2 linked regions of the Xenopus tropicalis genome follow. The protein of the gene in region 1 interacts with the protein of each later gene in a pairwise test. Links are inferred from orthologs where the notes say so. Each region holds a gene or a part of one and is shown on either strand. Other genes may lie near its edges.

The links.
Region 2: the proteins of morf4l1 (region 1) and zbtb9 interact in binary tests that used the Homo sapiens proteins (3 or more experiments, as listed by UniProt). The two-hybrid records come from large-scale screens. The link is inferred for Xenopus tropicalis from reciprocal best matches to the Homo sapiens genes MORF4L1 and ZBTB9.

The regions. Positions count from the first base shown.
Region 1 is NC_030679.2:118,096,319-118,100,071, forward strand, and holds the start of morf4l1 (mortality factor 4-like protein 1), read right to left. Parts: upstream 2,171-3,753; 5' UTR 2,107-2,170; coding exon of another isoform or gene 2,067-2,106; intron 1-2,066. UniProt on the Homo sapiens protein: Component of the NuA4 histone acetyltransferase (HAT) complex which is involved in transcriptional activation of select genes principally by acetylation of nucleosomal histones H4 and H2A.
Region 2 is NC_030684.2:71,795,873-71,799,625, reverse strand, and holds the start of zbtb9 (zinc finger and BTB domain-containing protein 9), read left to right. Parts: upstream 1-1,186; 5' UTR 1,187-1,246; intron 1,247-1,269; exon of another isoform or gene 1,270-1,366; intron 1,367-1,372; exon of another isoform or gene 1,373-1,542; intron 1,543-3,753. UniProt on the Homo sapiens protein: May be involved in transcriptional regulation.

The DNA of each region.
Region 1 (3,753 bases):
TAAGCCAACATCACTAGTGATGGTGCCCATAGCAACCAATCAGTATTTAGAATTTGACAGTTACTTACAAGTTAGAAAACAAAAGATCACCAGAGATGTTGGCTTACACACTAAAAAAAAAAAAAAATATGCTGAGGTGTGTTGACAGCAAAGTCCTCTGGTGCAGAACAGCAGTAGTTAAAACACCAGTGTCACCACTGGTATTTAATAGCAAGGGCCCCTGTTCACACACAAAGAGGACCTCTGAGCGTGTGAACCTCCATGCAAAAAGTGACAGACCATTAGGAGTTGTGACAGATGGAGAGGAGCATTTTGACTTAACTGCATAAGCCTTTCCTCTAAAAAAGCATATCATAGTAAGGGCAACTCCATTAGGTTTCTGATATGTTAAAAAGGCAGCTATACATACACCAACAGTGTCAATTAATTTAAGCTGTTGATTGGCAGCAGAAAGAGCTCATTCTCTAGATGAGACATTCTCTATACCAGTGGTTGTCTGGCTTTATTAGTTCTAGACTCCACCACCCATGGCCACCAAACCTAACCTCATAACATGACTAAAGATATCTGAAAGAGACTGTTCCACATACTACTAGGTCAGGAAATAAGTTTTTATCCCAAATCTCACAAAGACTGGACTTCAGGCTAGACTGTCAAGTGTAACTAGAAGAGCAAATTGACAACTCCAAATTTCACTAATAGGGATATGATTCAGTGACAGTACAGTCCCAATGTTTCTTCATTAATGTCTTTGGCCAACAGTGCTGAGATCCACAGATGCAGAGAGATCCAACTACAGCAGCAACAGAAAATGAAGAAAGGGCTAAAGAGGACAAAGATGCTGTAAGGCAGGACTATGGTGGACTATTCTGGAATGACAGAACAAGAAATCAGATTCCTCACATTTTGATGCAGTACTAGAACACATGCTGGTGAGAGATTTAGAAGCAAGCCTGCTCTTCACTCTACCAAGATAGGACCTTTGTGACAGCAAAGTGATATAGGAATGGTGTAAAGTTAGTGGACCTAACCTTGCCCATTAAGGGCTCTGCCACACAGGGAGATTAGTCGCCCGCGACAAAACTCCCTGTTCGCGGGCGACTAATCTCCCCGAGTTGCCTTCCCCTGCCATCCCACCGGTGACTTACATGTTTGCCGGTGGGATGGCGGGTCATGGCAACTCGGGGAGATTAGTCGCCCGAGACAAGGGAGATTTGTCGCGGGCGACTAATCTCCCCGTGTGCCAGAGCCCTAAGAGTAAGGAAGGTGCCAAAGCAACAAGACTTTTGTTTGGGTGCAGGTTTGTAGAGAGAGCAGCTGGAAGGCCACATTTTCCATCCCTGCACTAAACACAGATCAGGTCAATATAAACCAACACCCCCATTACAACTGGTCAAGCTAAACACTGTATTTCTGCATGTGTCAGGCACAAGAAGCCGTAGGCAAGCCTATCCCCGTCCAGCTGCTCCCTATACAAGCAAGGCATTCTTATGAAGTCATGGTCCCGTCACTCCCACAATGGCGAAGAGGTAACCAAGCGTCTGAGCTACTGTCGCGCTATAAAAACGGGGTAACCAACCTGCGACTGCCCATCTGAGCTACTGCCGCACTGAGGCACGGCGCACAACAAAGATTTCCCGCTTGCTGCGCCTGCAGACAATGCCACGCCCCCTCCCCCATAAGGAAAATGCGAGATTTTACACGGAACACACTCTGCTGCGACTTCCCCACTCGAACTACATTTCCCAGCTTCCCCCATACAGCTAACCACGGCGGTCCTCAGGCTAGAGAACTGAACGATGTATGTCACCCCTTTAACGCAGTAAAGGCGAGGGGCGGATTTGTTTGACTGCAACTCTCAGACATTCGTAAGAGCTTGTATTGCCAGTTGCAGCCGAACAAATCCAAGAGCCGCAGATGCGATATCTTTCAGCCCATTAACTGCGCGCATTATTGGGGCACAGCGCTCTGCCGTCTGGTCTACCGCTCGGCGTTCACTTAGAGCAAAGGGGTGAGTGAAGACTACGGTGTAATGGTGGAAGCCACGTACAATGGCTTATGCTTACCCTCTTGGAACTTAGGCCTTGGGTCCTGCTTCGGCGCCATTTATAAACTCCGCGGCTCCCGGGAACGGATCCGCCGCATCTACTCACCGCGCGGACCCGCACGTCACCGCACGCCGCCTGCGCATGCGCGCAGGGATATGCCCAATGTGGCGAGCATGCGCAATAGCCACTAGCCCTCCCGGGGCACTATGGGAAATGTAGTTCGGCTTTAGTGGCGCAACCTCCCCCACCCTCACAAACAAAACAAGCATCTTCGCATTTCTGCTACAGTGGAAATAAGATGGAATGTTAATAAATAACATTTACTGTTCAAGACTAAATGCTAGGTAGGTACCTCAGGTATCTATTTCTATATCGATTTTAATGTTACTCGAGGCTGAATGCTTAGTTTACATATTCCAGAAAGTATTTTTTCATACAACGGCGCAAAATCTCACGCATTAACGTTTACTTAGTGTCTGGAAATACATAAGGCAAAATTTACCGAATGAAAACGTTACGCCCAACGTGGGGCTCGAACCCACGACCCTGAGATTAAGAGTCTCATGCTCTACCGACTGAGCTAGCCGGGCGCTGTTAATTCCGTTAATTTGCGCTCTAGTTACTAATAAGTATAAAGCAAAGTGAAATTTTCTCTGTTCTATCTATGGATTCTGGTCTTTTTTCCTCATAAAGTGTCAATTTACACTAATAACTCTTGCACACTCCTGCAGGGCAGGTATAAGCACAGAGGTCACCCACAGAGGCCAGCAAACAGTGGCATAACTAAAAGCTAATGGGTCTGACATTAAATTTATTTTAGCCCCCCCCCCTTAAAATTTACAAATAAGACAATTTTTATAAATCTATATTGCAGCTGTTTATTAGTCAATATCTTACAGGACCTCCTATTCCTCCTGGCAGTCCGGGACTGCAGCAGTGGCGTAACTATAGAGGAAAACCAGAACATATAGGGGCACAATTACTAATCCACGAACGTCCGAAAAGGGTCCGAATGCGTTTTTTCCGTAATGATCGGTATTTTGCGATTTTTTTAGTAAATTGTCGCAACTTTTTTGTAGCCGACGAAAGTTTCGGATTCATTCAAGCTTCAGTATCGTGACTTTCCTTGGGCCAGGTTGGAGCTGCAGAGTGTCATTGAGCCCTATGGGAGACTTTCCTTGGGCCGGGTTGGAGCTGCAGAGTGCCATTGAGCCCTATGGGAGACTTTCCTTGGGCTGGGTTGGAGCCGCAGAGTGCCATTGAGCCCTATGGGAGACTTTCCTTGGGCCAGGTTGGAACTGCAGAGTGCCATTGAGCCCTACGGGAGACTTTCCTTGGGCCAGGTTGGAGCTGCAGAGTGCCATTGAGCCCTACGGGAGACTTTCCTTGGGCCAGGTTGGAGCTGCAGAGTGCCATTGAGCCCTACGGGAGACATTCCTTGGGCCAGGTTGGAGCTGCAGAGTGCCATTGAGCCCTATGGGAGACTTTCCTTGGGCCGGGTTGGAGCAGCAGAGTGCCATTGAGCCCTATGGGAGACTTTCCTTGGGCCGGGTTGGAGCTGCAGAGTGCCATTGAGCCCTATGGGAGACTTTCCTTGGGCCAGGTTGGAGCTGCAGGGTGCCATTGAGCCCTATGGGAGACTTTCCTTTGGCCGGGTTGGAGCTGCAGAGTGCCATTGAGCCCTATGGGAGACTTTCCTTGGGCC
Region 2 (3,753 bases), on another chromosome or scaffold:
CCCAGTATTTGTCTGTATATAATTAAAAAAGTCTCTTCTCACATACCATTTTTCTTGACTGTGTCATATGATATAGTTGTGTCAGTAAATAAAAAAATATTTTTAACAAAGAAGTATCATATATATGTAATTGCAGGGGCTAAGTATCAGTGTCAGAATGAGATGCCAGGTGCACACTGCCAAAACTTTAATTCCTCCTCTCCTCCTTCAAACTCTTTATTATCCTAGTCTCTTTTCTCTACATACTAACGTTTATTCATCCATTTACCAAGCTTCCATGTTCCCATCCAGAAATAGGCTAAATAGTTAGAAGCAAGAGGGCCCACTGACACCTGGGCCCACAGGGAGTTTCCCTGGTATCCTGGTGGGCCAGTCTGGGACTGGTAGGTATAATTAAATATGAACTTTGGACAGTGGATGCTTGCATTGTTGTACCAGTGCAACTTTGCCTCAAAAATGTGTCCAGAAGGGGGAAGGGGGGGCCTGCTGCATGCCCTGCACCTGGGCCTGGGGAGGTATAGTTCCGCTACTGTTTGGAAGCATAAATCAGTTTGGTGTAATGATCTCTTGTACCTGTTATCAGTGTTGGACTGGAATACCAGGGGCCCACCAGAAAACCTTAGAACATGGGCCCACTCTCCAAAATATTATTCTCCTATTACATGCTAGCATCTATTTTTCCATCTATTATTTGTATTTGTTCCCATTCAGAAATAGGGAATGACCATGAAACAGGCCAAATGGTTTGGAGCAGGAGGGCCTACTGACCCCTGGGCCCACCGGGAGTTTCCCTGGTATCCTGGTGGGTCAGTCTGACACTGCCTGTTATAAACTTAAAATATACCAGAGAATGCATATCACCACATAATTTCACATTTAAATATTCCTTTTTATCTGTACTTCTTCTATTTGCTCCAGCTCCCTATTTTGGTCCATCACACTAAAACGAATCATTTATTAGTTCTTTGACCTGGTTAGTAATTTGTATTGGATAATGTATGTGAAAGCAGGCTACTCAGCCTGGAGCTTTGCAGGCAATAGTAACATAGTGCTGTGAGAGGCAGATCACTTGGCACACCACACAGCTATAACCCTCTATGGAGCAGTTTGTATCATAGCCACGGTTTATTACAGCACATTCATACTACTTGTGCTTGTGGTAGGTTCCTAAAGGAAAGAGCGCAATATATCCCCCTTCTGGTCTCCAGGGGTAACTACAGGTGTGAGCGGCGCTCTGAGACAAGGGGTAAGGTAATGTTCGTCCATGTGATACAGGCCCGGATGTTTCCTAGCTCGTTTTCCCGGGGATAGCGCCTACTTGTCCCTCCTCCTTACTCTCGTAGAGATGTGACTACGGAGTCCCAGGGTTGGTTATACTTGTCCCTGACCGCGTTTTGCATGGCTCCAATTTGATGGTTTCCCAGGGTTACACACGTTTGTCCCGCGTCTGGCCTCCACGGGCCTGGCTATGTTTGTCCTGCCGCTGGTGCAGTGACGGGCTGCTGTATTTAGGGAGCTTCAGGGGAGCAGGGAAGTAATACGGTATGTTTCAGGGGTGGGGTTTATAGCGCCTTTGTGAGCAGTGCACTTATCAGAACTCACAAACCTGTGTCTAGTCTGTGGCCTTCTAGCTAGTTTGGGACTACAGTTCCCAGCATCCTTCACATACAGCCGAACTACAGCGGTAGAGTCACTATTTACAGTAACGGACACCAGTAGCAACTATGTACCATAAGGCCACAGGCTGTATTGATTGGGTAATGGGTGTGTGGGCCTGGCTGGGAAGGGAACAGGTTATCGGATAGCATTTTGTTATATGTACTTGTATTTTGGGCCTTATTGCTCCTTGTCCTCCCTCAGCCCTGTCCCACTGCCTGATCGCTAGGGGAGACTAAGGTACAAGCTCGCAGGGGGACACATAATAATGGGACACATAGCCCAGTAAGGAATGAGGGATAACTGGGGCAGTGCTGGGCATCACTTTCCTACCATCACTCCTGCCATGTAAATGGCTGCTAACAGATATGGAATTGGCTGCCCTTTATATGTTATAATGTTTCTCTGATGCAGATACATGAAATCCATCATTAGCTGTGACCAAACAAAGCCTCACACGGGATATTGTGTTCAGGGGAGACAGTATGTAGCCATGACAGGTGCTTAAACCAGTGATTTCAGGCAGATATTTTAGTATGTGAGTGACTTTGGGCATTTTAAACATGTTTCTTCGGCTGATAAAAAATATGTGGTGATCAAAGTGCAGAAAACATGCCTTTTTTGAAGGGTGAGCGCTTACGAGAGCCTGAGGATTGTCCAGCAGACAGTCACACTGTTCTACCTGGTGCCCAGCACTCTATATACTGAGCTTTTACATAAGTGCAGTGATGCCAAAGTAAAGACGGCTTGTGGGCACATAGCAGGGACTATTTCTCTGCACCTTGCTCAGAAAAACTGTTATACATTTGCAGCCCTGCACTGGTAATTTATTTAAAGAAGTAAAAGTGTATACAGTCCCTAATGTTGTGGCCCAGGCTTTTGGGTGTCTTGTAAAAATCTTATTTATAGTCTGATTATCAAGAGAGCTTGTTGGGTTGCAGCATATACACAAATATCCCTGGTGAAGCCTCCTTGGTTGTTTAAAGATGTTGCATCATTGACAACCCTGCATATTAGACTTAGGTACAATTATAATATTAGCTAGGCTTGTGCTCTCCAAAAATGTTTATTAATTCTGAAAAGTATAACTATAAACACCAATATTACTCCATGTGATATCTACACCAGGGGACAGGAGCCTAGTGTGGTACTACATGCCTGTCAGTGCCTGGCAGGATGGATCTTGTCATGAAAATGCTTGTGTGCACACAGACAGGAAGATGTCTTTCTGTCAGCCAGGGTTTGAGTAGATTGTCTTATTCTCTAAAAGAAAAAAACCCTGGTGTAGCATTAATTGTATAGTTTCATTTTTTAATGGGAAAAAGCAGTAGTTGCAGTATTAAACAGAGGGTTATTTTAGTGTATTGTATAGGTGCATTGACTCCAAAAATGAATAAATAAAAAAGTTGCCCTGCATGTTTCATGCCTTTCATGAACACTACGACGTAGTGCCCTTGAGCAGTATGAAACCATTTGCACTGTATCAATTTACTTCTAAAATATTTAAAATATTTTTTTGTATTTTGGAATTCTTGCATCCTGTTCCAAAATAAGGTAGCCACACGTAAAGATGGCCACATGTGCCAGATTCAGCTGCCCATATCAGTCCCTTAGAGCGATTCAGCAGCTTATTTGCCAGTGTATAGGCACCATCGACAGGCCTTCCCAAACGGCATCTGACCTGAACCAGTGGCACCTATGCCTGCCATTTTAATTTGATTGTTTGGCCCTAGTAAGTGGGCATATCGGGAAAAGATCCTCTTGCTTTATGACATTGACAAGCAAGCAGACCTTACAGTGTATGGCTACCTTTACGAAACACAGTTTTGTGAAGGTAAACTACCACTTGAAGTCTGCCCCCCAGTGCATGTATGTATATATATAATATATTATATCAAATTATTCTTTATTTAGCGCCAACATATTCCATAACTATCCACACCTGTCCCTGCCCTAGCGGAGCTTACAACTTAAGGTGCATATAGCATTCACACACGATCATTTTTCGATCAGAAGCCATTTATGATAAATGTTTTTTCAGTGTGGGAGGAAACACAATCATTGATAACGCATTAAAACTCATAGTACCCTCACTGG